Linked DNA regions of Xenopus tropicalis. Each later gene encodes a partner of the first gene's protein in a complex. Links are inferred from orthologs where the notes say so. Each region holds a gene or a part of one and is shown on either strand. Other genes may lie near its edges.

Evidence for each region.
Region 2: mta1 (region 1) and cdk2ap1 share a complex: the UniProt entries of both Homo sapiens proteins name them as parts of the nucleosome remodeling and deacetylase (NuRD) repressor complex. The link is inferred for Xenopus tropicalis from reciprocal best matches to the Homo sapiens genes MTA1 and CDK2AP1.
Region 3: mta1 (region 1) and chd5 share a complex: the UniProt entries of both Homo sapiens proteins name them as parts of the nucleosome remodeling and deacetylase (NuRD) repressor complex. The link is inferred for Xenopus tropicalis from reciprocal best matches to the Homo sapiens genes MTA1 and CHD5.
Region 4: mta1 (region 1) and cdk2ap2 share a complex: the UniProt entries of both Homo sapiens proteins name them as parts of the nucleosome remodeling and deacetylase (NuRD) repressor complex. The link is inferred for Xenopus tropicalis from reciprocal best matches to the Homo sapiens genes MTA1 and CDK2AP2.

What each region holds. Positions count from the first base shown.
Region 1 is NC_030684.2:115,959,459-115,967,541, reverse strand, and holds the start of mta1 (metastasis-associated protein MTA1), read left to right. Parts: upstream 1-3,731; 5' UTR 3,732-4,012; coding exon 4,013-4,040; intron 4,041-8,083. UniProt on the Homo sapiens protein: Transcriptional coregulator which can act as both a transcriptional corepressor and coactivator. Acts as a component of the histone deacetylase NuRD complex which participates in the remodeling of chromatin.
Region 2 is NC_030677.2:161,135,792-161,143,675, forward strand, and holds the start of cdk2ap1 (cyclin-dependent kinase 2-associated protein 1), read left to right. Parts: upstream 1-3,514; 5' UTR 3,515-3,534; coding exon 3,535-3,592; intron 3,593-6,306; coding exon 6,307-6,404; intron 6,405-7,884. UniProt on the Homo sapiens protein: Inhibitor of cyclin-dependent kinase CDK2. Also acts as a component of the histone deacetylase NuRD complex which participates in the remodeling of chromatin.
Region 3 is NC_030683.2:98,574,726-98,582,082, forward strand, and holds part of chd5 (chromodomain-helicase-DNA-binding protein 5), read right to left. Parts: intron 6,038-7,357; coding exon 5,871-6,037; intron 4,873-5,870; coding exon 4,645-4,872; intron 2,381-4,644; coding exon 2,183-2,380; intron 1,939-2,182; coding exon 1,727-1,938; intron 1-1,726. UniProt on the Homo sapiens protein: ATP-dependent chromatin-remodeling factor that binds DNA through histones and regulates gene transcription. May specifically recognize and bind trimethylated 'Lys-27' (H3K27me3) and non-methylated 'Lys-4' of histone H3.
Region 4 is NC_030683.2:59,554,510-59,562,473, forward strand, and holds the start of cdk2ap2 (cyclin-dependent kinase 2-associated protein 2), read left to right. Parts: upstream 1-3,032; 5' UTR 3,033-3,059; intron 3,060-3,172; 5' UTR 3,173-3,273; coding exon 3,274-3,334; exon of another isoform or gene 3,335-3,351; intron 3,352-6,104; exon of another isoform or gene 6,105-6,203; coding exon of another isoform or gene 6,204-6,204; intron 6,205-7,964. UniProt on the Homo sapiens protein: Acts as a component of the histone deacetylase NuRD complex which participates in the remodeling of chromatin.

The DNA.
Region 1 (8,083 bases):
GCCTTAGGCAGACAATGACTTAAACTTTCCATTCAGCACTCACATTCTCCCTACCTTCTCACCATCTATTTGTGTAGCCAGTGCATGGGCCTGGGCATATGGTCCCCCATTCTGGCACATACACAAGATTTTGGGGTGATACAAAGCTTGCCTTAATAACAGTGCCCACAAAATGGCAGCTGTCTGCTGGCTGTGATTGTATATTCCCAAGACTGAAGGAAACAAGATTTATATCATTTATATAGTGTAAGTGAAATTTATTTTGCTTAACAAACACACCAGAAAAGAAATTGGAATTATTTCTTAGGGTTTCTTAGGGTGACAGGTCCCCTTTAAGATTGATCTTCTGGTATTTGACCCTCCTGCTTGTTTGGGACCATTCTGTTTGCTGCCTGAACCGACCTGTGCCCTGAATATGACTATGAAATTGTTTAACCCTTCTGATACAATATTTTTGGACTGTTTGCTTGACTCAACACAAGCTTCCTCCTCAACTCCGACTACAAGCCCTTACACCCTTATGCAAACAATAATGCTTAAATTTCAGTAAACTTACTAAATTTTTCATTATTCTTTTTCATATAATGTAGCTTGGTAAAGCTGCCCCAGGTCACTTGAAAATGTCCACTTCGCATCACCCAGAATTTCCCTTACTCTTATGCCAGTGCAAATCATATTGAGCATATATAAGGCTTCACACATAACACGCACAGTGTCCTAGGAGTCCAGTGTGCTCGTTGTTTACTATGTGACAATGACAATAAAGATATATTCTATTCTAGAAGACATAGCACCAATCTGCAACCACTGGCAAGAAATGGAAGGGGAGTGAGATATAATGATGTCCCACTTCCTAGAAAATGAGAACAAATAACAAGGTCTTTTTGCAAATTAATTTAACCCGGAGCCATTGCATAGGCATGGGTGCAGGCTCAGGCAGCAAATTTTCTGCACAAAAATGTAGTTTCACGCCCAGGCCCTGATTGGTGCATAGGCCACAAAGGGTCAGGCCCAAGGAAGCAGGTTTTTCAGGGCAGCATGCCACCCAGCCACATCTGTAATTTTTCCTTCCTACAGACACCCATAACATTGGGGACTGGACACAGCTGAGATTTTGAGTTATTTGAATTTCTTGTGTCCAGTCCTCATTTCTGCAACCAGAATGAATGCATGTTTTTTGGAGCATAGTGGTAGATTCTCTTTTGTTTGCCTAGTTTATTTTTATTGTCCTAAAACATGGTCCCAGTTCTAAAGCCAGCCAAACGTGCACCGATAATATCGTACAAAACTTAATTGACGTTCAGGACTGATATTGCAAAAGGTTGCGGATATCGGTCGACCCGTCGATCGGCCAGGCTAAAATATTTTGATCAGGTGCCATTGAAGGTGCCCGTGCAAAATCTATGTTGAGAGCTGAATCGGCAGGTGGAGGTAGAATTTGTATTGTTTCTACCTACGTATCTAATGATTCAGCCCTGAGTGGCGGGTGGGAATGATCTTTTGTGCGACCAATGGTCACATGAAAGATAAAAATTGCTACGTGTATGGCCACCTTAAGGCTTGATATGGTTGAACATGACGCCTCAAAATCCTTGAGCGCTTTTGGTTGGAATTTGAGTCAAAAAATGTTCATTCAGCAAATGTAACAAGTTTTCATTTCTTGCCAGCTATGATCCACCTTTATGCATAATGTGCCTGATCCAAAACTATTGTTTTAAATTGCACAAAGACTTGTGAGTGCTTGTATTATGTAGGGTATTTTGATCTAGAAATGTGCTACGCAGCAGCAACAAAGCCAGTCATGGGGACAGTGCTTGACTAAATGCTCTCCTGAGGCATAGATCAATTCTTCATTTCTAGCACTCTCTGTGACAGGAAAAAAAACTGCTTAACAAATATGTCTCATATTATGAAATGCTACGCTGCTGTAAATTCCAGCCAGTTCCCACTGCAAATCCTTCCTGTGGTCAACGGCAGATACTGCAAGTGTATGAAAATTAGGGATGCACTGAATCCAGTTTTTCCGGTTTGGCCGAACCCCCAAATCCACGGTAAGCGATTCAGCCAAATTCTGAACCGAATTCTATTTACCATATGCGCGGTAAAAAAATTCCACTTCCATGTTAACGTGACAAAAAGTCATGTGATTTTTAGGATTCGGATTCGGTTCAGCCAGGGCCATGGATTTGGCAGAATCCAAATCCTGCCGAAAAAGGCCAAATCCTGGATTCGGTGCATCCCTAGTGAATCCACTCCAGTCCAATCATAATTGGGTTTCTATCTCTCTTTTGAACTTCCACTGCTCCCCAGTATATACGCTTTTGGTGTCTTTAATTGTTGATAGATGGTTACAAATTTACGCATTGTTTCCTATTAAAGGAGAAAGAAAGTTATAGTAACCCCATTGATTGTAATCACGGCTTTTTCATTGTACTGCAAATGCGTAGGCCCCGGGATCGTGAAGAACGAAGACGGGAGGAAGAGGATCGCTCAGTCGCAGGTACCCCAAGCCGGTGCAGTTTTCTCTTGACAGGTGCACCAGCCGGGGTATCAGGTAAGTAATTATAATCACTAGGGCACCTATGAATGCTAGGCATCCTGATCAGTGCCCCTGTGCCCGTCAAGGGGAGAGAGTACATAAAAAAGGTTTTGGGGTAAGAAAAGTGTGTAACATTAAAGAAAGTGAAGCAACTGGAAAAAAAATAATGAACAAATTACATTATGGTTGGTGAGATCTTGGTAGCCATTATTCTGGCTGGCCCATGGCATTACAGTTTAACACTGCACAGAATAAACTATACTAAGTTGTCCGTAGTGACACTAAAGTGTACTAATTAGCCAAGCAGCATTCTTATTGTATAGTTGCCTCTTTTTATAATGATCATGTACAGATGTGGGGTATCCAACCTACGGCCCTTGAGCCGCTGCTGAACTACAAGTTTCGGAACCCCGGCATAGCCAAAGTTAGAGAAAGCTGGGACTGAGGAAAGTTGCGGCTGGAAGAGCACAAATCCTTATAGATTGTAAGCTCTTTAGGACAGGGGCTTTTTTACTTCTTGTATTGCTTGCTTTGTGTTTAATTTTGTATGTCCGGTGTATAATCCCACTTATTGTACAGTGCTGCGGAACATGTTGGCGCTTTATAAATAGATGCTAATAATAATACTGGTTGATACCGGCACATAGCATGTGTATTTTAAAACCAACCAGTGTTTGAACACATAACAGGGCAACCCCCTGAGATAGGCTATTGCAGGCACATTTATTACGTTTACTGCGCCGTTGCCTCTGGAGGTGCTTTATAGAGTAACGGGATACCAGCACAAGACATTATAGTCTGTACATAAAAGCAATGGAGATGCACATTGTTACAACTGTACATTGATAAAGAGACAATAGAGGAAGGGCCCTGCAAGCAAGAGCTTACATTCTAAAAAAAAAAGAAAGAAAACGAAAGATAACGGTGGCTTTTTGCACCATCACGACGTATGGCAGTCACCGTGAAGGCAAACCATGGCTTCTGTTGCCCACGAAGAGGGAAGCTCATTTCCCGGTAATGCAGACAAATGGAGATGTCCTGGAGAGAGACACAACAGTTGCAGTTGTAGTTTGGATGGGGGAGGGGGAGGAAAGAGAAAAGAGTTGCACTGAATGACTGAGTGACTTCCTCCACCCCTCCCCTTGTTTAGGACTGTTGCTAGTATTGCTCCTTCTCTCTCCTCTTCTTCCTCCGAGCACATTGCCACCAGGAGGCAAGGCACTGCCCCCCCTTTAAATGCATCCTTTTCCCCTCCTCCTCGGCTGATCCATCCACCATTTTCCAAAAAGGAGCTCTGCAATCCCACCTGGAGGAGGATTTGTTTGTTTTTTTTTTTTTCCCCCCCTCATGTGGATCGTTGCTAAAAATCTATGCTGAGGAGAGAGGAGCAGGAGGGGGGGGTTCCAGACTTGCTAAAGCAGAAGGCACCGAGGGGGGAGTGCCAGTGGGATCCCCCCTCCCTTGCTGAGAGACATGGCTGCAAACATGTACAGGGTTGGAGGTAAGAGAGATCCGCCTTACTGAATGCAGGAGCAGCTCTACCTATTTGGGGCCTTGTTGTGGGATCAGCCTTAGTGATGATTTGTTTCTCTGCCTGCATTGTGCCGCTGCCTGTATGATGTGGGTTTGATGGTGGGGGTGCCAGTGTGCAGGGGGGCACAGACATGCAGCAGTCCGCCTACCATTGCTTTTGGGGGCGCTACGTGTATACGGGTAGGGGGGGGGGCAGAAGAGATGATTTGAGGGGAGACTGTAGGAATGTGCTGCTGCTGCAGCCGGACCTGAGGTGCCCCCATTTTGTCCCGGGTCACGTGGTGGTCCCCGGCTCACCCCCACGTCCCACACTTGTAATAATGTAACATACACGGCTCTATAATAGTGGAACTACAGAACTTAGTTAATGGGGTTCCCCCAAATACACCATTTGCAAAGGTTACACATTCTCACGGTGTCACAAGGGGTAAAAGGCAGGACGACTCCCAAAGTGGAGGTAGCTGTCAGATTCCCTGTACCTCAGGGTGAAATGGTGTATGGCAAACTTGCTGGGCTTCTTAGCTGTTCGGAACTACAGTACCCATAATGCATTGTTACCAGTTGCAATTGTTGTATACGGTTATTGGTTTATTTCTGTAGTAGCCAAACTGTGGCCCTATTGTTGAACCGAGACTGCCAGTGATACTGGGGAATTGTAGTGTAATAACAGCTGGAGGGCCGCAAGATAGATCTTCGTTTACCTATATGATTTGGCCTGTACCATGGCACAAGGCCAGTGATAACCCATATATAACAGTCGTATATGACTTTGCCCTGCTTTTACCCAACTCCTGCCGTGAGGTAACATCTTTTATGGCGCGCCATGTTGACGTTTCCACAAATTTCCAGCATTACCCGCCCATTTCCCCCTCCTCCTTGGGCCCCCATGTTTATTAACGTGATTTATTACATTTTTCTCAGAAAACAAACCCGTTAGGTTCGGGGGGGCTGGTATTCGTGGGGTGCCATGTTCTAGACAAGGCGAGGGAGGAGGAGGAGGCGGCGGCGCAGATGAAGATCTGTCCCCTCCCGCCATATAGTGAGCGCGTCCGTGGCTGTCAGCGGGGGGTGTTGTAATATAGCTTATTAGTACAGATATGTGGATAGTATGGCAAGGGGGTAGGATAGGGTATGAATGAGGGGATACCGGGCTTACACGGAGGTGGTAATGGGGGGCTAAGAGCGCTAGGAGCGGGAACCAATATGGCGGGGGATGGGGTTAATGGGACACAAAAGAGGCCGAACGCCACCACTGGCGGCAGGTACAGAGAAGGGAGCCAATGGCAAGTAGTGTGCGAACGTGCGTTTCCTATATATATACCGTTCCCTAATATATACCGTGTGTGCTGGGCTGGCAGCCCTCCTGCCATTAGTACAACAGATACTCCCTGGGTGTTTAGTACTTGCTCCTATCTTTGTAATAAACTGATCAGAGAGTAGAAGAAAACTTCATTTGACACTTAGGTGGACGTCAATCATCATATATTTATACGTTTAGAGACCATTCTAGAGTATAAGGTCTATGGTGCAGGGACCCAATTCCAACTTTAAATATAAGTTTTATCAATGTTTTCATTTGTTTACTGTACCCGCGCTTACATAGTAAGTTGGGTTGAAAAAAAGACACATGTCCATCACGTTCAACCATAATGCCTATATATACCTGCCTAACTTCTAGTTGATTCAGAGGAAGGCTTGATTTCACAAAAAACACTGTATTATTATTAATAATAATATTTATAAAGCGCCAACATATTCCGCAGCGCTGTACAATAAGTGGGTTTCATACATTGGACATACAGAGTAACATATAACGCAATCAATAACCGATGCGAGAGGTAAAGAGAGCCCTGCCCTAAAGAGCTTACAATCTACATGAACATACCCTGTTCTATATAAGTACAAACACAGTAATGGCACACAATTTACACATACAAATATATATGTTTATAGTGACTGACTGACATTCCAAAATAAGGCCTACGGCTCAGTAATTCTGGCCAGAAAATGACACAATGCATTTTCTGTCCAAAATGTATTTAACTAAATGACATACCTGCACTGCCACATTTGGTCACTTCTCAGCCAGCTGGAATATACCCTGTGTTACCATAGGCCAAAATGCCTGCTTTGCCTCAGTGTTCTTAGTCTTCATGCATTCTAAATACAGTACTCAAAATGCGCTCTAGGAACTTTAATAAACATGAATGTTATTGTTTAATAGGTGAGGCACCTAAACTTTATACATGGTTACCTCCAAGCAGAGGTTAAAAGAAGACCAGTCCAGCTAGTTCAACCACAAGCCTCTCACAATATATTGCTGGTGGTTTTTTTTTCCCCTTTTCTCCTGACAGAACTGGTGTTTTTGGACCTCTTGGACCTGATATGCTTTTTTAGTTCACCCCATGGCAATGAAGGAGTTTCTTAATTGTAAATGGTGATACTTTGGTACCTAATGCCTCCATCTTCACCAGTTTCTTTGTTGTCTTGAGATTCAGTTGGACCTATCTGAGCAAAGTTTGCTTATCCCTTGGTCTTAAATTGAGTCTCCTTCCTGAATGAGGCAGTATCTGTATGATCCCAAGTTTTTTATTATTGCATATAATTGTACTTACAGATGTTCGTGGGAAGTTTAGCTTTTTTCTTAAGGTGTAACCGCACTTGTAGAGGTCCTCCGTTTTGTTTTCTGAGGTCTCAAGGTGGCCATACACTGTAAGATCCGCTTGTCTTATGACGATACGCTGTCAGGTGACTTTGTTCGCAGAAGGTGAATGGCAGCTGAAGAAATTTGTGTGCACTATTTTTTATTTCATACATAAACACATAGTTTGGTATATCTATATTGGGTATCCAACTGTTCAATAGACCTCTGGCATTCATATTTAGGGTGGAAATGCAATAAAAACCGCTAAATTTAAAAAAGCTTTGTTATTTGGTGTAGAAAGATTTTTTTTTTTTTACCTAATTTGGATTTATTTGAATGTCTACTTTCCAAAATTATATGGTTTTCTGGGGGTCTTAGGACACATAATATGCAGTCAGAGGGTTCTGTTTGCTGAACCAGAGTTGGCAGGTGTGTGCCAGTAGACCCATGGTGTTTATATTTAGGATTTTTTATACTGAAACGATACAAAACGTGTGCCATATCATGGGGTAACATTTTTTTTTTTAGATATTTCATAGAAACCACTACGTTGAGCATAGCTTTGCATTTTGGTAGTTTGCAGTAGAAGGGCATATTTTTGGATTGAACACAATGTATACTTTATGAAAATGTTTGGTTTTTTTTTTTTTTGCAGCTTTCACCACACATACAACAGTGTGTTTTATTAATTAGTGAACATTTAAGCAATGAAATATGCACAAGTTATATGTTGTGGTCTCTACTTGCCATGTACTTTAATAAACCTGTGTACATTAGGCATCAAACTCTACAGTAGACCCCTGGGGTTCATATTTAGGATGTTTTTTTCTTTGTACCTAATGATATGTCAAATAGTTAGTTAAGTTGGGCTGAAAAAAGATCAAGTTTAACCACTCCAAGTGAACCCGGCACACACTTAAACCTATACTGACCTATCTATACACTCGCATACATAAACTATATATACCAACATCAATACCCTTGGATATTATGCTTGTTCAAGAAATCATTCAACTACCTCTTACAGGCATTAACAAAATCAGCCATCACAACCTCACTGCCATCCCTGTGAAAAGCCAACTACACTGCTTCAAATGAAAGTTTTGTTCCTCTATGGGAAATAATATGGAAGCTTTAAAGGAGAAGGAAAGGCTAAGTCACTTGGGGGTGCCAAAATGTTGGCAAATCACCAACTTTAGGCAAACTTTGTAATTTGGAGTAGAAAGACGTATCCATTTGAATTAGAAAAACGTACCCCTTTTGGATTCAAGGGAATGTGTATTTCTGAAAATATAGATTTCAGGGGTGAACTAAGTTTTTTTTGTGGCTTTACCCCCACATAAAATGCAGTAAATATGTTAATTTTA
Region 2 (7,884 bases), on another chromosome or scaffold:
GTCACCTCTTTGATGTAGAATCAGCAGTATTTTAGGAGTGCAAACAAAAGTACCAGGGATGGGAATTATGCTTACAATGGATTACTGAAATGGTCTTTCTACAGAGCAAGTACAGAAATAAGATAAATAATAATACACACATCTTTGTAGTAGCAAGCACACTAATCAAATAATCAACTGTATCTGCTATGACTACTGTTATCTGTTAAGGCAAAAGATTTGTAGTCTTCTTAACTAGACTCTGTAAGCCTCACACAGACCACCAACTGGGTTAGGACACATTAGTAGCAGGAAATAGTTGTCTTTGGAGTCTATGTATAAATAACAACTGCAACAATCAATGTTACTTAACCTTGGGTCCCCATGCTAGACTACAACTCCAAGCATCCTTCATCATATAATCAATGTTGCACAAGGCTAAAAAACAGAACTTTAAATAACTGTTGGCTGTGCATAAAGAAATTATCTTTGGTGACCAATATTTAAAAACAGGGTGTTGGGCCCAGGATTTGGATGGACCTGAGCCAATAGTTGTGTGCTTGTGTCATTAGTGCAAAATTGCTGTAGTGTTTCAGTAGCTGCCACAAGCATCTGTGGCAATTCTAATATGACAATACAGCCCTTATAATGTAGCGTTGATATTTTACACTTTGTAGGCTGCATTTTCACTGCATATTTGCTGCTATATGTCCACGTCTTGCTAGTAATAGAATTCTTTTAATAGCAAGACATGGACATATAGCAGCAAATATGCAGTGAAAAAGCAGCCTGCAAAGTGTAAAATATTAACGCTACATTATAAGGGCTGTATTGTCATTTTAGAAATGCCACAGATGCTTGTAAAAAAAGAAAAAAAAAGGTGTTAAGTTGGTATGTATTTTTCAGGAAGAGGTGGCCATGAACAGTGTAAGGCCAGTCAGAGTATCATGGATTTCATCTGCTAGTGTACATTTTACACCCAAAATCCACCCTATGTGCACAGAGACAGGTATATCACATTTGAGCAGGTTACTGTTGTACATGTTCCTTCATAAATCAATAGAAAGTGAAATAAAACTGTTCTTATTACCTAATATTCACATCTGTGTAAATGCTGTCGGTGCAAAAGGGGCCCTATTTGTTTTCATAGTTAATCTTACAGCAATGTCAGTCACTGTTACTCACATGCACAGGTGCCACAGTTTCTAAACTGCAGTTATTCCAGATTTCAGCAAAGGATTTGACCCAATTTAAAAAAAAAAAAAAAAAAATCTTAGCTCTCAAGCCTCCTGTTTCCAGTCAATCTGAAGCCTACCCCTTACTGATATATGCCAGTAGTGTGTTGTCCTTCTAGATAAAAAGACATCCGTAAAGAGAAAAGTTGTGGTTCTGATTCCCTTTGTCCGATTGTATCCATATTAAGGGTTGGTTAGCTTCAGCAGCCTTTGGGAGCACTTGGTATCTTTTTAATGCCTCCCTTTCACGTTCCTAATATCAACAAGCCCTACCAGTTGTCTGATGAAGCTAAATATTCTTATATTATTTTATTTGTGTTCCTAAAATATTCTCTTCATACAATCAAACCGTATTAATAACAAAATTCACCTCCAAGGTTTTTTATTATACAGGTGGATTTTATTTCTATAATATTATTTTTGGGAATAGAGTCTTAATTACTAAATAAAAATAACAGTTTTAAAATGCAGTAAGATGTAATTTATCCCTTTCATCCCTGATATAGGTTAACACCACATATATCATTGCTGAATGTTTAATAAAGTTAAAGTAATTTTACCCCTAAGGGTAAAGGTGGCCATACATGGTAAGATCTGCTCACCTGGCGAGGTCACCAAGTGAGCGGATCTTCTCCCGATATCCCCACTTACAGGTGGGCAATATTGGGCTAATTTGGTCATTTGGCCCTAGGGCCAAATGACTGAATTAAAACGGTGTGTATAGGCGCTGCCGGTTCGGGGCCCGCATCTGACAGAAAAATCGCACCTGTCCAATTGAGATCTGCCCAATTTTTGGCTCTGGCACACGGGGAGATTAGTCGCCCGCGGCAAAACCTCCCTGTTCGCGGGCGACTAATCTCCCCGAGTTGCCTTCCCCTGCCATCCCACCGGCGAACATGTAAGTCGCCGGCGGGATGGCAGATGCCAAAAAAGACTTGTGAGTTTTTTTCGGCGATTTCCCGAAATCGCCCCGCGGCGTCTGCCATCCCACCGGCAACTTACATTGTCGCCGATGGGATGGCAGGGGAAGGCAACTCGGGGAGATTAGTCGCCCGCGAACAGGGAGTTTTGCCGCAGGCGACTAATCTCCCCGTGTGCCAGAGCCCTTAAGGCCAGATGTTGGTCTGGGAGGCCCATCTTTGTGTCCATACACGGGCAGAGAAGCTGGCGAATTGGTCTAAAGGAATGATTTCAGCAGCTAGAATCGGCCCGTGTATGGCCACCTTAAACACTTATGAGCCTCAGTCACATTTTGCTGGTGGGGTAAAACAGTTGTAGTTCAACATACAGAGACCCTCAAATTGGCAGTGTTAATATACAGGAATGTACAGCTTGGGTCACTCTAGCGGTGAATGAAATGGCAAGAAGTGGTTCAAACAGTGCTGATGTCCTGTGAAAAACAAGAAAAGCCAAAATGCTGCTTTTATTGGGAAGTACCTTGGTTCATACCCACACAGCGACAACAGGCAGACCTCTTCATATAAATACTCACTTGAGAGTTTTGGGGGGTGTATGCCTGGAAGTCAGTGTGTAAACCGGGGTACTTTCCATTAAATAACATCACAAGTCACGACACGGCTGCGGCAGACAAAATGCCCCACGTGCCACTATAAACAGCTGGAAGGATGCAGGTAAAATGTCATCGGTACAGGTCCATATATTTATAAATTTATATCCGCCTTTACAAAATAGTTACAAAAAAAATAAAAATTCCCCTCAAGCACTTTTATTAAAATAAATAATACTATTTACTTTCTGGAATACAAAAATACACCCATATTTCACCCTATAATAAAAAATAAATGAATGGTTAAAATGTAATTAATTTTGCCAAAAAGTGTAAAAAAAAAAAATGTAAAAAGTTACTTTACTAAAAATGTGAAAAATCTTAAGGTTACTTTGATCAGGGAACAAAAATGTATTGTACCCATTGCACTGAGAACAAAATCAACTTCCCCTCTCAAAGTGAAAAAAAAAGACCTTCTGAAAGAAAATGTCCGTGTCGCGAAATTCACTGCTGAAAAACAGTTAAAATGGCATAAAAGTGCCCTAATGTTGGCGCGACGGCTGGCTTCCATGAGAGAAATAAGCCCCCCGGGGTGAGAGGTGAGCGGGGGGCTGCCCAGGGACAGGGCTGCTGGAGGCTTCATTGCATTGTGGGTGTCAGTACATGTGACGCCATATCTGCCGGTGCCGCCGCTGTAAACAACAAAAAGTGTCTGAGGGAGACAGACAAGAGCCGCTCCAGTGGATCTCAGGACATTTTATTTGTTGTTGTTGCCAGATTCCTCCCCTCTCGGCGGCGGTCATGTCTCTGGGAATGTCTTACAAGCCCAACCCGAACGCCCAGCACCCCGTCAGCAACCCCGGCTTGCAGGGTAAGTGAGGGGACCCGGGGTGGGGAGCTTGTTCAGGGGGCAGCGAGGGCTTGGGCCCAGTTGATTGGAGAGGAGGGGAGCAGGATGGAGACACCTGGGGAGAGCCGGAGTTCATGTGCCGGCCGCTACATTCATATGAGTTCCTGGCGGAGGCTGTTCGGCAGAGCGGGAGCCGATCGCAGTGTTCGGGCGGGCTGGCGGTGCTTGTGGGGACAGGGGGGACCCTGTGGCATGCGGGGAAGCGATGGATCCGCAGGAGCCCTTTGATCAAGTCCGTTTCGGCGCCTCCATGATCGGCTCCCCAGGGCTGCTGATTGATCTGGAACTGGTAGGCACTGTGCGGGCCTCTGCTGGCAGCAAGTGGAACTGCAGGGCGCTGCTGATTTAGGAACGTGTCTCTGTCGGGAGGGTCGTGTCCATTATTATCATATTACCATTATACACAGGAATACTTCTGGCGAATAAAGGAAAATCTTACATCTTATAATTGATTCATTCCCGTATTATTAATGTTTGGCAGATTTATAACTCATGTAACAAACTCTGCCTTAAATTAATAAGCATTGTTATGCATAGCACAAATTGGTCATTGTTGATAAAAGAGCATGAGGGTTGGTTGCTTTATGGCAGTACTGGGATCTCAAGCTATTGTGCTGATAAATGTCTGCGAAGCTGTATCCACACTTGAGAACTTGAGAATAATAGGATCATTATATGCTACCAGGTGTATACAGAGAGGCATGGTTTGTATTTGGAGAGAGAGAGCACAGGCAGGGAGCGTTCATGTATTTGAATCTCATTTTCCATTTTTATTGTTAAAAATGGTTGGTGATGTGTTAAAGCTGATTTTGCATTTTTACAAGCTGTGCAATTAAAATGCCATTGGGATTCATATCTCTGGGCATGGTGGAGTCTGTGGAACAAGGAATATTAAATATAAAGCGGGGTTATATTCTAACTGACATAATAGCCCTAATAGATAGCTGTACAACACTGGAAAGCTTGTTCCATAAATCAATAGAAATTGTATTTGCAATAGGAATATTTCCAGCCAGTTTCAGTGAGCTGCAGGCAGGGCCGTTTTACCTAGCAGGATGGTAGTGGGCCCCTTCCGCCCTGTTTCACAGTGTTTAAACCGTCGCCACTTTTGGCCACACACATATATACCACATCCATTTTACCAAAATGTAACCCAGACGTGCCACAATTAGAGAAAATGCCATAACTAGAGAAAATGGATAATGAGCATATGAACTCCAGACATGCCAACATAAATTCCAAAGTAAAATAAAGGGCATATTAACCCTAGATGTGCCAGTATAATTACGACAAAAAATAATTAGCATATGAACCCCAGCTGTGCCAGTATAATCACTATGGAAATGGGCAATTAGCACTCTATTAACCAGGCCTGAATTTGTGGCGAGGCAACAATGGCTCAGACCTAGGATGGCACAAATTTAGCGGCGGCCACACCTGAACTTTGCTCACATACAGAGCACTGGGGACAGGACGCACAGAAAACTTCAGTGCGTCCTGTCCCCAGTGCTCCGTATGTGAGCTAAATGGATGGGGGGGGGGGATTAGCAAATAAGATTGCTGGAAAATGTCCAGTAAGCATTCCATTAACTCCAGACATGTCCGTAAGATCAGTGGATAGATTGAAAGCATTACCTACACTTGCACATTCTAAATACTAGTAGCAAAGTTACATGGCCAGTATGCTATTATCAATGGCAGTTCCCCCCACCCAGTGTTATGCTTCCATTTATTATCCCATTACCTGTATGGGTGGAACACATGCAACCCCTATAAGGCATCTCACCAGCTATGTCCCCTTACTCTGCCCTGGTACTCGAAGGGATACGCTGGGTATTATTTTTTTTTATTGTCTTATTAATAAAATATAGTGTTGACAAATCCCAAATAATGGCGTAGAGACTCTAGCTTGGGTGACTGTGGGGACACAATAAAATGTAAAAAAAGACCAATAAAATAAACACCCATTTATAGACTGGAAGCATTTCCTACACTAAACTTGCACAAGCAGAACACGAGTAGTGCAATTTCCATCTTTTCTTTCATTCCTTAAGCTTTTGGTGCACTCACTTTCTGTCTGCCAGCTTGTGAAGAGTCCACCTGTTAAAAATCCAAGATGGCCGTGGGTTCCAAAGTGGAGTGAATAGCCATCTTGAATTTTCTTTACACAGAAGAGACTCATCTGAGACCATGTTGAGGAGGGCAGCGGTGGCATAGGGGTATGAGGAAGGGAGGAAAAAAATAACAAAAAATCAGATCCCCTTGAATCCCCTTTGCAAAGGACTTGGTTTCAAAACGTTGGAAAGTCCTTTATCAAGGGAATTCAAATTAAATAAGTGTGCATTAAACAACTGACCACTATACTGTTTGGGGCTCTGTGTACTTGTAATGCCATCTGATGTTTTCTACATATACAAGCTATACAAAAGGGTATTGTCTATGGAGAATATTTCAGCAGTGGGAAGTAACCTGTCAGTTCCAACTTTTATTCTTACATGCTAATAAACAACAAAAAACGTTCCTTGCATGCAGTAAGTAACATCTTCATTCTTCGCTAAAGAATACATTTATATGGATTTCATTCAACTTCATGTTATTAAAAACAAATCATTATAGAAGCAATTCTGGCATAACTTTCTTACTATAGTAAAAATCCTACGTGTTCTTTTCAACAGCTGGAAGTGCTCACTCCCCTTCGACAAGTATGGCATCGACTGCACAGTACAGGCAGCTAGTTAATGACTACGGACCTCCATCTTTAGGATATACACAGGTAAAGCAAATGTACTTACTTATTTACAACTTCGGAAAACAAAGCAATTTGAAGGGCTTTCCACCACTGATATTATGCCAGCTCTATGAGAGGTAGTTCTTTGCTTTCCACCGGCGACTGCTCTTGTTGCCAATGGAAAGCGGGTGACTGAACCGCCATGTCGGTTCTTACCCTAAACGTGTTTCCTAGCCCTGCTGTATTTATTTGAATTAGGGTGATCGGGCACCATTTCCCTTAATAGCTCTCAATGCTATCTCTTCTCTTAACCAGAAGTCAGCAATTGTTGACAGCATTATAGTGAGCTTTGTCAGTTGTGAATATAAATTTATGTCAGCTGGAATAGGAAGAGAAACATCAATTAACAATGCAGATGCTATTATGAATTGTGGTCCCAGAAGCTGCTTTTACTTCCGGTTTAAAGCAGAAACAAACCTACAAACATTTTTACTCTGCCTGGTTCCTGATTTCTAAAAATGATTTTGGGGAAAGCAAATAAAAAAACAAAGGGCAGTAGAGGGAACTTTACAGGCTGTAGAGTGAGTTTACAAAACAATACCTCTCCCTTTCATACTTCTTCTTGCCTTCCTGTATTATTTGCTTTTTAGCACAGGTTTTCAAGAGAGCAATATCTCCGGGAATATCATCTTAAACCAACAAATGTATTTTTATTTTACTTGTAATATTGGTGTGTAGGCAGCCATCTCAGTGCATTGTGTGAGTCTAAGCTTTCAGAAAGAGCCAGAGCTTCATATTAGAACTGCATTCAGGAAAACTATTGTTTCTCTTACTCCCATGTAACTGGAGGAGTCCCAAGCCAGATTTCTCAAGGTCCCCATACACGGGCCGATTCTAGCTGCCGATATCGGTCCCTTAGACGATTCGGCAGTTAATCGGCCCATGTATGGGCACTACCGACGGGCCTGCCCGACCAATATCAGGAGTCGGGTGCTATAGCCCCGAGTCTCACACTTAAATCAGATCTAAATCAGATGTGTAGACACGAAAAGGTTTGTAGGTGGGGGATATCGGGAGAAGATCCGTTCGCTTGGCAACATTGCCAAACGAGGGAGGGGTGTGATATCACTCCAGCTCAGCAGTAAAGTGTGACTGAAGCACAGGTCACATGGCTGTGGCACCCTGGAAAATAAAGAATATGGCTAGCCCCATGTGAAATTTCAAAATTAAATATAAAAAGACAGCCCTTAAAAACCAGGAACATGCATGGGTGGGGCTTTTTATCCAATATAAAAATAGGAGCATGGATATAACGCCTAATTCAAAGCTTTATTAATGTAACATGGGAGGAAGGTAAGAATAAAGTTTGGAGATGTGAGGAGATCCAAGGATTTCTTTCACTTCTGCTCAGATATGCTCTTTAGAGACATCAGGCTTGTGAACAAAGCAGTGCTATTTAGCCAACAGTGTGAATGACCAGTTGAATATCGGTTTATTTGCTTGTGCATAACACCCATTAATGACT
Region 3 (7,357 bases), on another chromosome or scaffold:
ATTATTAAAAATGTTAAGTGCTTTGAAAGTTATTTGTAAATGTAGTTGCTATAGAAAGAAACATTTGCAGAACTCCTGGTTGTTACTTTTTAAACAATGTTGCAAAGGTCAGTCTCCTCCATCAAGACAGGTCTGTCAATCTACTGGTTTGTATTACATTGTTTCAAGATTCAGAACCACCAGGGCAGAAAATAGAAAGGACATGCAAACACTGCTTTTAATAGCAGTTATATATACAAATACCTCAACCACCATTACAAAAATGTAATGACTTTATATTGCAAAGTTGCTAAGAGTTTTGGTTTCTTTTATTAGGCAATTTTTTTTTCCTTTTAAAAATATGTCCAGCTCTATATAATTTGATATACCTGTAGTAATCACCAGTGGGATTTTGCACAATTTTGGACTATAGCTATCTGGGAAGCATTAATCTAGAGATGATCTTAGCTCATTAGTTCTTTAGAATAAATGTCTGCTACAGCTGAATGCATTAGCCTTTATTACCTTTACACACACACAAACACAATTCCAGAATCTACCATCTATTAAGTCTCTTTATGTGCTGTGCTGTGCATGCCAACCTCTACTCTTAAGACCAGAGTCTGCTCTTAGAATGTTAATATTTTATTAGTGCTGTGTTTTATTTATATATAGAGTGTCATTGATGTCTAACTCTGTGTTACTGCCAGCCACAGGGCTTGTACAGTTTATTCAACACGCACAAATTTGTCATCTAAGATAAGGATTCTGATAATCTTCATATAGGTATTACGTTTTTACAGTGAATACCCACTCCTATTAAAAATACTAGGAAAAAATCAAACTATTACTCTATACAGCATCTGGGAACTGTAAGCTATAACAGGTTCTGTCTACCTGAGCCAACACTCCACTTCTCACCATTACAACCTATGCACATAACAGCTCCCTTAGTTATGTTGCTCTGTGTATGTATATATATATATATATACAGGTATAGGACCCATTATCCAGAATGCTCGGGACCAAGGGTATTCCGGATAAGGGGTCTTTCCGTAATTTGGATCTCCACACCTTTAGTCTACTAAAAAATCAATTAAACATTAATTAAACTCAATAGGATAGTTTTGCATCCAATAAGGATTATTTATATCTTAGTTGTGATCAATTATAAGGTACTGTTTTATTACTACAGAGAAAAAGAAAAACCGTTTTAAAATTCTGAATTATTTGATTAAAATGGAGTCTATGGGAGACAGGCTTTCCGTAATTCAGAGCTTTCTGGATAATGGGTTTCCGGATAAGGGATCCCATACCTGTATATATATATATATATATATATATATATATATATAAGAACAGAGAGCCGCACACACAGGGACTTAGCAATTAGTGAAAAAAGTTTTAATGAAAAAAATCCAAAGTTTCGAGCACTAACTGTACTCTTCTTCAGGGACAAACCCTGTCCCTGAAGAAGAGTACAGTTAGTGCTCGAAACGTTGAATTTTTTTCATTAAAACTTTTTTCACTAATTGCTAAGTCCCTGTGTGTGTGGCTCTCTGTTCGTGTATTTCCGTATTTTGCCAGCACCCAGGGCATTTGTGCCTCAATAGGGTGTGCTCCACTCTTCTTGTTTTATATATATATATATATATATTACACTTTGTACGGCGCTGCATATCCTTGTGGTGCTTTATAAATAAAGTTATACATACACACACACATTTTGGGCTTTGTGGCCCCCTACCTGTGATTCATTATTCGGTGTATCATCATCCATTCTGGTTTTATGCCATATCTGTAAAACTTTTCTTCCATCTTTGCATACAGCGGGTCTTTGTTTCTCCGTTTTTCACTTTTGCCTTCTTCATCCCCAGACCCATAGTCATATGGAGGTGGGTCATCCATATCATTTTTTCTTTGGTAGTTTCGAAACATGACTGTATGATATAGCTCTAGCTGTAAGGATAAATAATAAAAACAACACATTTAATATGGAGGTGAAAAGGCAACATGTTCCCATGCCTCTCATCCTTAGATTTGCCTCTTGACCATAGGATTTTAATAATGATAGCATTAAGCAGGTCAAGCAATGGCAATCAGATGATTAAAATCAACTGTATTTAAATGGATTTTATTATTCATGATTTAAAAAAGCATTTCTATGATCAATGTTATAACTGGTAGTTTCTTTAAACATCACCTGCAATTCCTTAGCCCAGGAGCAGTGCCAGTAGGACAGCCCTGCCCATTTGACAAAAAATTCTCTTTCTGGAATGCCCTCCACAGGCTTTGGAGGTGGCATAAGGGGATCTATATCGACGGGAAACCCTGATGGAGGGGGAGGTTCTCTCCATACCCAGTGCAGGATTCGTTGAACTTTTCCTTTCAAAGGTGGACACTAAAGATAAAATGAAAACAAATGTTTCAATGCCTTTATCATACATTGAAGTAACATTCACTTGTAATTTATGAAAAAACACACAAAAAAATAAAGGAAAAGTTATAAAAACGTTCATAACTGTTGTTTAATATCTGTAAAACCTTGGTGCAATACCACTGCCACAAACCTCAGTTCCCCTCTAATTGTTCTGCTGCTTCTTTAAGTTTTGTCTTTACATCAATTCAGCATTAATTTTTCTTTTCAACCATTACATACCTCCCAACATTTTGAAAGCGGGACAAAAATAAATGCTGAGCACAGCGCGGACTTTTTTTGACCACGTCCATTTTGCAACCACACCTCCTAAATACCACTCCCATTTGACTAAATTTGGCAGGTTATTGAAAGTTTGGACACATTTCTGTTTAGCTTATTAGTTACAATTGTATCTCAGTGCAGGGGGGATTTTTAACTTTCTGGGCTCTCTGCCAAAAGCCACTTATTTAATTAAAAGCGAGAAACAATGTATCTAAGTGCAGGCTCTCTGCCCAAAAACTACTTTTAATTAAATTTGTATCTTTTTTAGCTTCAATGCAGGAGATCAAAGGGAAATGAGGGACTTTTAAGTAAGAATCCGGGACTGCGGGTTGAGCTGTCAAAAGAGGGACTGTCCCGCGAAAATCGGGACAGTTGGGATGTATGCCATTACATGCATTATGCATTACCATGCTATTTCTAGTGAAATCTCTCTCAACGTTTAGGCTGATGCCACACAAGGCATAGGGCTGAAATTTTCGGCAAGCGGATAAACGCTTGCCGAAAATTCAGCCCTACGCCTCCTACTTGTGCCTGCACCCGAATGAATGGAATACGCTCGGGTGCAGACACATGTAGCCGATATACGCAAGAAAACGCGAGATTTTGAATTCTCTTGCGTTTTCATGCGTATATCGGCTACATGTGCCTGCACCCGAGCATATCCCATTCATTCGGGTGCAGGCACAAGTAGCGCTACGCCGCGTGTGGCATCAGCCTTATCTTTTCCAAGTGAAATCTCTTCTACCTGTTCTTCCTTCTTTCCATGCCACCACCTTTCCCTCACCTTGTTTTACTACCAACTCACCTTTATTCTGCGCCATTTCCAGCCTTTTTACTCACTCACCACTATACTTCCCATAGCTTTGAACTGCTCCTCTCACTGTGTAGTCCCTTCTTTCTCAATGAACAGTGCCCATTTTATCTATATTTATATTAGTGGTAATTAAATTAAGTAATGCCCTTCACAATGTCGTTGCACTTATCCAAGAAAAGTTTATTTGCTAAACATTCAACATGAACCAACATGTATAGTTCAGTAAAAATGGAAAATGTTAAGGATGTGTCTTTGTATGGCTCCAGTTCTGAATAAATAGTTCTTATTAATGTAAATGAGCAGTACCAAAACATTATCAGTCAAAACACTATTACCATAACTGCTATATCATAACAATTGTTATTGCAACTGCAATTCATTTAGTTAGAATGACTAAAAATACACAAATATTGTTATAGTTACTGAGGGCAAACTAACCACACATCTTATCTCATTACCTGCCCTATGGATTTGACACCCTGACATAGCCATGACAGCCATGGCCTCTTGTTTTTTTGTCTGCCTGGCTTTTCAAGCAATGGCAAATATTCTAAGCTCAAGCCATAATTCTAAGATCAACAATTGTCTTCAGATGCAATCCTTATCTTTTAATATAACACAATATACTACCAACATCCTACTTTCTGTTCAGCTCATCAAAGTGTGTATAACTCTTTATCCTACTGATAAAATCAAACCCATAAACTTGAGATTGAATGTTCATCACTGTTTTGCTGTAGATATTCTGTCCCATATACACTGCAACCTGTTAGATGTTATAGCACAGGTTAATATCAGCTTAAAGCTACAGATTTACAACTTTCATCCATTTTATTGCATGTTTTTACAGAAACGTTTGTATATTAGTCTTCACAAATATACAGTTGACTCACTTTCCTTTCCACTTTACTAAACACAGCAAAATAATTCCTAATAACATCAAATGTCCTCATTGTACCTCAAATGTATTTACTATGGCAGACAGTCTGTCTAGATGATATTTTAGGGCAGAGCCCATGCTATCCTTTGCAAAATGCAAGGAAGCATATCTTACAAACCCCATACACATGTGCTATTATTTGCTTCCTTTCACAAATGTCAGAAAAACATAAATGATTCTTTATCCAAAACTGAGTTCATGAGGTCTTACCGTACAACGAGGGCACAGCCATTCACCATTTGGTATTTCAGGCAATGGTGGGTTAAGACAGTGCAAATGATAAGAAGAAGGACAAGTGTCACAGCACAGAAGTTCGCCCCCATCTTTACAAACACGACAAAACTCCATGTGGTCATCTTCCTCTTCTTCCTCTTCTTCTGCCCCATCTTCTTCATCCTCATCATCTTCCTTTGGTTCCCACTGAATGCCTTCTTTTTCCTATTCAAGGGCCAACAGCAATTTACGTCAGTATGTTTTTATGTTTGATTATAATCAACGATATTAATAATAATATCTATCATAAGGATTTATGCTAGCTTTGTTAACACTAAGGGGCCTATTTATTATGCTGTGTAAAAAAACAGGGACAAAATTCGCCATACATCGACAGGCTTTGCCGCATTAAAAAAAGGTGTATTTTTTTATGTGTTTTTTCTTCTGCTGGAACTTATGTAAAATAGTGGCATAAAATCTGGCTTTCAGACAGCAAAATTTGCCTTTTAATTTACACAGCTTTAAAATCCATTTTCTGTATGAATTTGGAAACAGTGAAGGCACTGAGTGATTAGCATTTTTTGCCTTTAGATCTCCCTTTAATAATTCAGAGAACAAGCAAATAAATCCAAAATGAATAATTGTTTGCTTAAAAGGGTAGTTCACCTTTAAATTAACTTTTAGTATGATGCCGAGATTCTGAGATTGTTTGCAACTGGTCTTCAATTTTTTTTTGTGTGTTTTAAGTTATTTAGCTTTTAGTTTGGCATTTTAGCGACTATCTGGTTGCTAGGATCTTATTTTCCCTAGCAATTAAAAACGTTAATTTAGGGGTGAACCACCCCTTTAAATAGAATACTAACTTAATTTATAGTCTGGTGCTTCCTGGAACTAAGTTTGCAGATATAAATCCCACATTTACATTTATTCTATAAATAAGTTAATGAGTTCCTATGTTTTCATTCCTTTTGTTTACTTTTTAAGGTGCCTTAAGACTGCTATGTTCATATCTCTATTTCATCGGGCAGAATGATAGAACAATATTACTGCACTGCAGAATAAGTGGAAAAGGTATGTAGTGCATCATACAAGCAGAAGAAAATCTCAGTAAAACAAAGCAAATAAATCTATAGAAACCTGAAGCTGACAGCAGTAATACCAAGTACCTGTTCTGTACATTCCAAATAATCCCTAATCGTTTCAGAAAAAAAGGAAAGACTTACACAGTGTGGACAGCTCCACTTGCCCTCTGGGGCCTTCTCCAATTCAGGATCCAGGCAGACAAGGTGATAGGCACGGGGGCATGTGTCACATAATATGATTTCCCCTCCCTGCTGACAAACTTCGCAGTAATCCTGATGGTCTGTCTCATAACCGTCACCTTCTTCAACTACAAGATAAATAAAAAACAATATCATGTTCTCATTCCATTTGTAGCTCTATCATCTGCCTTGATTTTAATGCATTAACACGACATTAACATCAGCCGCACAAGGTAACGCAGCACTTAACATTTCGAGAGTATGTAAATTGCTTTTCACCGACTTTAATGACAGTGCTTTTATGTTTGATTAGATTTGCTAATTTGATAATTGAAGGCAGATGGATCAGGACAAAAAGCAGTAAAAGAATAATAACTTCCCAACATTATGACAAGACTCAGCGTCGTCAAATTAGAGGAAAATTTAAATTTGCTTTGGAGTTTGCTGCAACAAAATGGAAGAAAACGGTTTTTAGTTCCAAACTGCTAGAAACACATATGGTACCCTGAGGACAAAACCAAAAGATACCCTTCCATATACCATTTTTTTGGGGGGGGGGGTGGACAAAGCTCAAATATTTTGTACCATTACATAATTTATGGCAGTAGAATGAGATCTGTATTCTTTTGCCAATTTTTTCCTAGTTTGGCTTCCTGCACACAGAATTGTACTGTTGGAAAGAATGAATTGCCTATCATACCCCTATCATACCCTAACCTGCATAAAGCTTAAACTGAATCAAATATGGGACATTCTTTATTCAGTGAACAGAAGGCACTTTTGTCTTCTCCTTATTTGTCTGCATTTTCTCCCACAGTCTGAAAAACAAACTTATGAATTTTGGCAAATCTGACCAAAGTATCTGCACTTTATGTGCGTGTCAGTCTGTATGTGTGCATTTCAAGGTAAATGTCTACCCTTTTAAATAAATAAATGTCAAACTGTTACCTTCAAAGCTGCTTCTTGCCAAAAACATTTGATAGTGTAGATGCTACTAATGCAGCAGTACAATATAAGCATAAGGTGAATGGTCATTTTAATGCAAAATCAATTTCACTGCTGTACCAGTGCTCATTATAGTAAATTGAGGTTTGACAATAAGATAGATGCTCTGCTCTTATTTGATGGTGCTTTTCAAATCGCCCCTACAATACCTTAACCTAAGTAGCTGGCATATGACTGGGTTTCATTTCTTGTTCCTGAAGCCTTAAAAAAGCATTGATTATACCCAGTAAGGTTTTGCTGGCATTGGCTTCAATCCAATCTCTGCTTTATTAAATGTAAGAAGTAGAGATACATTTGTTCAGCTTGCACCCCTCCAGTTTGTTAGACAAAAGGTCTCAGCATCCCCTAAAACTACAACCTGTTCTGTGTCTTTTGGTTCCTTTTTCTTTCATACTCCTGTTTTTATTTACAAAAATACATTTTACTAGTTAATTAATTTAGTT
Region 4 (7,964 bases), on another chromosome or scaffold:
TAAAAGATAGAAAAGAAAAACAAGAAGGGAAGGGCAACTGTTTGCAACACGTATGTCTTAAAAAAAATTTTACTCTGCACTGAGTTTGTCTTTGAAGACTGTTTCCTCCTCTCAAGGATTCACAGTCTTTAGTGCAAGGTTCAATTACTTAATCCAAGCACTAATGCTCTAAATAACAATATGACACCGCTGCCAATCAATTTGTCACGATTACGGCACTTCAGACGCACGTGACTTTAGGCGTGGTTGTCTAGAGGGTCCCCTGCTCAGTCTCACACACCTGGCACCCCGGTAGACTAGCGGCACAGCACCCCAAAGACCAACCAACGCTCACAAACTCAAATACAACTTGCTGCCACCACTCTCATACTTCTTATACTGGCGATGAGAGATGCCAAGCACACTGGTAGAGAAAGGGTTAATGTAAAGAACCGACACACAAACTCTCCATACTAGCAGTCACAGGGTTAATCAGCATACAGAGGGCTAAGGCACACAACTCAGTTACACACTCGGAGGTTAGGTACGTTTTAGAGCATCAAGGACAAACTTATTAAATTTTATATTTAATATTATAAAAAGTATAACAGTGCAAGTTAAAACAGGATGTTACAAAAAAAGGACATACGATAAAATAAGTACAAACAGTTTAAAATAAAAGGGAAAAACATAGAAGTCCTATACTGTACCAAGCAAAGTCCTTCTAGTCCTGGAGGCAAGGGGAAACCACAGGATAAACTTCCAATCGAAAATTGGTCCTCCAAGTATATCAGCGTATAGTCAGAAGAGCTGACTATTTATCCCAGTTTGCAGGGGATCAGGTAACTGGACACTCCCCCCTCCCTCAGGAATGCAAGGGGTGTCACCATTAGCAGGACACAGTGTGAGTTTTATGACCCCCTGAGTGTATGGGACTGGACCTATGATGAAGATGACCATAACTCCTTGTGGGAACATAATAGAAAGATGAAATTAGATTCATCAATTCTAAATGATCCCACCGGTCCCATACAGACTAAACATCACTACTGTGTGACCTGCCCCTGCCCAGATACTCCTATCTGCCAAACCGAGAACCCAAATCCAGCGATGTTTGGACCCGTAAGAAAGGCAATCGTAAATGAAACATATACTCAGGTTTTGGTACCTCTAGTATAAATAGTATGGGTTCTGGGACAATAAATGTTCGTGAGGTTGGGTTATGGTGTGACCTCCACATCACCTATGATGGGTTTTGATGTGAACTCTAATTTACACCATGTGGGCTTTCACTCCCCCACATGGCATGGCCCTTATCAGCCAGGGATTAGAGTTTGGGCATTCCAGGATGTGAGGCCTTTACACATGGCTGGTTCCAGACCCTAGTGACCAGAGGCCTGTTATACATCTGTTTCTGTCCCATGGGGGAAGATTTTTGTGATACCTTGGCCTGCTTGATTAACCCTTACAGGCCTGTATCATGACAAACAGGTTTTATATATCATGCCCCCTTCAACTTTCTTTTAATACATACTTGGTACAGTTATATGAAGATACTTAATGTGGACCTGCAGTGACAAAAGAAAAACCTGAAATATATCTCCGTCTGAGAGTACCGGAGATTGTGAGACATTTGTTCTTGATCGGTAAAAAAGATATTTATGTTTGTAAGCATACTATGAGCACTTTTACAGATATTAAAAAAGAGATCACTAATTGTATTAGAGTTAATTGCTCACTATAGCAGATATAAACAAACAAGGTGTTGTTGAACTTAGTTTTTCTGCACTTTATTATGTGAAAACTAGATAAATGAATGTTCTGCTACAGGTATGGGATCTGTTATTTCCAAATTACGGAATGGCTGTCTCCCATAGACCCCATTAATAATCAAATAATTCTAATTTTTGAAAATGATTTCCTTTTTCTCTTTAATAATAAAACAGAACGACGTACTTGATCCCAACTAAGATAGAATCAATCCTTATTGGAGGCAAAACAATCCTATTGGGTTTATTCATTATTCAAATGATTTTTTAGCAGACTTAAGGTATGGAGATCCAAATTACAGAACAATCCCATTCTGGATAATAGGTCCCATACCATACCTCTCAACATTTTGAAAACAGAAAGAGGGGCAAATTTTTTTGACTATGCCCATTTTTGAAACCACACCCCCTAAATACCACTACCATTTGACTAATTTGGCAGGTTATTTAAAGGTTGAACACATTTCTGGAGGTTTTGGGGTCCTGTTTTATGTGTTATTAGTTTTGTTGAAAAAGCTAAAATTGTCTTTTAAGCTGCAAATCTCAGATCCCCCAAGAGACCTACTCTCTGCCAAAAGCACACTTAATTAAATTTGTATCTTTTTTAGCTTCAGTGCAGGAGATCAAAGGGAAATGAAGGACTTTTCCAGTAAGAATTCAGGACTGCGGGTTAAGCTGTCAAAAGGGACTGTCCCTCGAAAATCGGAATATTTGGGAGGTATGCCATACCTGTATTTGCATTTTCATTTTTAAAGTTGAAACTGTTCACTCATATACACTTTGCACTTCATTTTATAACTAAATGAACAATTTAAATATATGATCAGGAGTCAGTTAATAAAATATACTAAACTATATATTGTTTTTCTTTTAAACACTTATCTTTGCATCGATATAAGGGTTCTGGAGAACAACTACACCAACATGCTTGGGAGTAAAAAATTTCTTGTGGCAAACAAAAAAGACCACAAAACAGAAACATTGGAGCAGCTACTATTTATTCAACAAACGAATTGTTATTAATTTCTCTCTTACAGCTAACTAAATTACTATGTACCCAAAGCACTTTTGACTAGCTTCCCAACATCGCCCTTTTTAAACTCATCCAACAAATACTGCAGTAACGTGTTGAACCCCATACACAAGCCAACAGCAGACGACGCAACCAGTTTTATGTCGCGCCTACAGACTCTGTGCGTGCAATTGTTCACCCCTTCCGCATCCACTCCGTCAGACGCACGTACCTACGTATATGGTCCTTGAATACAGGATGTAGTACCCCGCAGGACGCAGAGGCAAAGCAAGCGAATGGTAGGTTGCTTTGTCAGCAGAATTTGAGCCCAAGGGCCTGAGGATTTCTATCTTCTTTAAAAAATGATACATCACATCCGGGCTCCGTTCGTTAATTTACTGGTTTTTGACAGTTTTTTTACTAGGTCGCCTAGTGGGTAATCCGGCCTTGCGGAAGAGGCACGTCTCGGTAGTAAGGTGTCTAAAGTCGAAGGGTGAGCGTAGTAGTTAAAGCATGTCGTATAAGCCCATCGCCCCTGCGCCTTCTGGGAGTAATAGTGCCCCTGGCACTCCAGGTAACAGAGTAATATAGGTTGGTTTATAACATTTTTTTTTTAAAGTTTTCTTTAAAGGTAAATGGCACGACTACAGATTATTGGTATTTTGGCGCTCTGTGGCAATTGTCGGGACCTGTAGGTGTTGCAGGGATAGTCACCAGACCCCCAAGGGCAATGACACAGCACCTGAAAATACGTTGATGTCCACATAAAAGGAAATTGCTGTGTCTGAGACAGTTTACTTGCGTACACTGTTGTAATAACATGAAAATGCAGTGAAAGTAATTTTTAAGATATTACCTGTGTGCAACTTTTAGATCTCTACATTTGCATTTTACAGTACTACAAGTTTGGCTGAATAAAGCCTGAAATTGCTATGTATATCAAAAAAGGATATAACAATTTATTTTTTAATATATTATTACCTGTTAGCGCTGCTTACTAACTGGTAAATTGATTGTGGCAGCACTGAGGGTAAGGACTATTTCTAATTTGTACTTAGAATTGCTGTGTGTGCCATTTTTCTAATGCTGCAAGACTTTTGTTTGCTTTAATTCAATTGTATCTGCTGAATCTCTAGAATATCAAGCATACTTTTAGGCTTTGCCAGCATTTACTTATTGTTGCTTGGTTGGATTTCTCAATTTTACTTCAGCTTTAAAAATCTATTGCATTTAACTGTTTTATTAGTGTTAAGATTTATCTTTAAGATACATTATAAAATATATATACATTTATTTTTTATAATATTTATAATTTATATACATTATAAAATCCAAGCAGTTTTTTCACTGATATGCCCAACTAAGGTGGCCAAACGATTTGATCAACAGCAGGATACAGGCCATCAGGGCGAGGACTTCATCAATGAACCGATGCAGGCAGATACGTTGCCGAATTGGTCTGAATTTTAGGGATTAAGTCCATGTCCTTTAAGGTGTCCATACACTGTAAGATCTGCTAATTTTGCAAGGTTGTTAAGCAAGTGGATCTTCTGATATGCCCACCTATGGCGGGCATAGGTGCCATTGGTTCAGGGACTGCATCAGCGAGCCGATCCAGTCCCTGATCCAACTGAAAAATTAAACCTGCCCGATCGAGATGGGTATTTATCTGGCCTAAAATCAAAGAAATTGAGCCGCCCTATCAACAATTGTCTGACAAGTCCACCTGCATTTGCTTGTGATTGGCATTTAAAGAGGCAGTGTACCTCCTTGTTTAACTTGAGTTCAGTGAATAGGACTTGTATGTATGTATTTATATTTTAGCATCCTTGTAATAGACTGCACCACCACTGCAATATCTCCTTAAAAGCCCTTATTGAAAAAAGGGTTCTGACCCACAGCAATGTTTCAGACCAACACTGGTGTTTTATCAAGCTACTGAAACAGCTAATATCCGTACATTTTTATAGTGTGATACAGTGACTATTGGTAAAATTGGTAAATTACAAACCATTCATTGTGAAATATTTCCATTTCAAACTACATAACTACCATTTGTTATATTTTAAACATTTTTACTTTCAGAGGCTTTTTGTGCATTAAGCCATCCCCATCATCCTTAAAATAAGCAACCTGCAACAAAAACAGATACATAAAACCCCAATTAAAAGCAAAAATTTAAAACCCATAATTTATTTTTCTCATTAAATCACAGATAAATCTTAAAGGAGAAGGAAAGGTAAAAACTAAGTAAGCTTTATCAGAAAGATCTATGTAAATACAGCCATAAGCACTCACAGAAACGCTGCATTGAGTTCTCTGTCAAAAGAAACAGGATTTGTTGTCTCCTTGTTTTTCTCTGCCAGAGACAGGCAGCTCTCTCCCCCTTTCCTGCTCCCCCCCCCCCTCAAGAATGCTAAGAACTCCTTCCCCTTCTTAGGAATGTGTGATCTGAGCCAATCAGCAGGAAGATTCCTCATAGTCTTACAAACTGATCATGTACAGTGTCTTGGTCTTGGTGCAGGAGCGAGGCATTATGGAAACTTTCTTTACAGAGCTCGGAGTTGTTTTTTTTTTTTTTCCTATGAGGCTTCTGATCATCTGAACCGGAGAAATATGGGGAGACCTAAGGGCACTATTGAGAGAACTGAAGATATACCTGCATCTTGAGATGAACTCTTTATTAGCCTTTCCTTCTCCTTTATATCAAATTCTCTATTGAGGTCATGGGGCATTAATGTCTCCAAACTACGTATCCATCTTGCTTCTTTATTCAGTAAAATTCTCTATCTATTAATACTAAAAAAAATCAAGCTGTCTCTTATTTTCTCACTACAGGCCATGAGGTGCAACAGTTAAAATTCCTGATCATTGATAATGCCCCCCCCCCCCCAAAAAAAATAGAATGAGAATTTTACTGGAAAAAGAAGCAAGAAGGATACCTAGGTTGGAGATGTTAATGCCCCATGGCCTCGAAAAAGAATATGATTTAAGTAAGATTTGTCAGCGATTTAATGAGAGAAATAAATAATAGGTTTTACCTTTTTTTTTTGCTTTCAATTGGGGTTTTATTTATCTTTTTGTTGCAGGTTGCTTCTTTTAAGGATGGACTATTGGTGTTAGTGAAAAAGTTTAAAATGTAACAAATGGTGGCTATGTGGTTTGAAAGGAAATATTTGTATCTGTACTTGTTGTTTCACAATGGTTAGTAGTATGATTATTTAGTTTGTAATAAGATTTTTTACCAATAGAGATCACACTATAAAAATATACGGATATGAGCTGTTACCAGTAGCTTAAAAAGACTGGTGTTGATCTAAAACATTGCTATTGCACTTCAACAGGTGGAGACTGTTACTCTAAAAGTGTGCATAGAGAGAGAGGATGCCAACCATGATAAAGCAGAACTGCTGATACCAAGCATTTGAAGATGTTTTAAAAGAAGTATGTATGTATATCTTTATTTATAAAGCGCTACTTATGTACGCAGCGCTGTACAGTAGAATACATTAATACAAACGGGATTATTAAGCTAATAGATGAATACAAAGTATAACCATAAATACAGATAAATACAGTTGCAATAAGTTAAGAGTCAAAGACAAGAGGATGGAGGTCCCTGCCGCGTAGAGCTGAAGTGAATGATTAACATTATCAAACGCTGCGAGATCCACAAGTAAAATTGCCACACTCTTGGCTCACCTAATCAAATATTTACTCAGTCACACTTCACATTTTCTAGAACAGGCAGCCATCTCTATAAAAAGGTATTCTCCCTCCCATCCTTTCCCTCCTTGCTTCATACTGCACATGTGTTTCATTCCCTCCCCCCCTTCGCCTCACCTCCCCTGTGGCAGATCTGCTTCTGATTGGCTGGTGGGCATGTGTAGCTCAGAACAGGAGACAGGATCAAGTTACACACATGCTCAGAGAATAGGAAGGCTGCCGCTGGCAGCCTACAGGAAGGGAAGAGAGATTTCAGTGATTTCACTGGAGTCTTCACACTGCTGTAGGCTGCCAGCACCATATCTCAGAGAAGCAAGCAGGGATCTGGGAATTTAGATATGCAGTAAGTACTTAAAAAGAATGCCTTTAGACTTACTTTTAATTTATATTAACCTTTCATTGTCAACCCCATCCTCAACAGTCTAACCTCCATAGCTTAAATCTTCCATCGTCTTTACCAGTTTAGTTGCACGTCTCTGCACTCGCTCCAGCTCATTAATATCCTTCTTAAAGTGATACTGACAGCCAATAAACAAAATTTTCTTGCATCTGCCCTCATGTTTACATTGGTATCAACTTTTAATTTCTTTATAAAACAAGCTGCAAAGTTTTTTCACTTTACCATTATCATGGAATCAATGACAGGTCCACAGGGCAGCCATGTTTGCTCTCCTCTTCCAGGCTCCGGTGTGTGCCTGTGTGTAATGGGAGGGAAGGGGGAGATGCAGGCAGGGAAAGCTGAAGCTGCTGTTATCTACTGCTCTGTGCCAGGGGATGGGAGGGATAAAGCTCTGTGTTGGTGTGTGTAAGAGGGGGAAGGAAATCAAGCCTGTCTGCTGTTGTAAGGGAAAAGGAAACGGGAGGATCCTTTCAGTCACTGACGTCAGCCTGCTCCTGCTTTGACTGACAGGCTTAGAAAACACAGTTGGGTTTGTCAGACTGTTTGGTCCAGGATCTTAGGAAGTGTTTATTTAGACAACAAGGGCTTTCTGGAAAAAACGGTCCACATAAGTTATAGGTATGTTTGGAGGTAGAATCATTTATTGAAAATAATTATTTTGCTGTTAGTATCACTTTAAGGACTGGAGCCCAAAACTGCACTGCATACTCAAGGTGAGGCCTTACCCAGGGACCTATAAAGAGGCAAAATTTTATGTTTTCATCTCGAGTCAATGCCCGTTTTTATACAAGATAGCACTTTATTTGCTTTAGATGGTTCACGTTTATATTATTTCTACCAAAGTGCATAACTTTGCACTTGTCCACATTGAACCTCATTTTCCAGTTTGCTGCCTAGTTTTCCAACTTCAAATCGCTCTGCAAAGTGGCAGCATCCTGCATGGAACAATTTAGTGTCATCAGCAAAAATAGAAACATAGTACTCTCTATGCCCATCTCCAGGTTGTTAATAAATAAGTTAAAAAGCAAAGGACCAATGACTGACCCTGCAGTTACTCCACTAACTACACTGGTCCAAT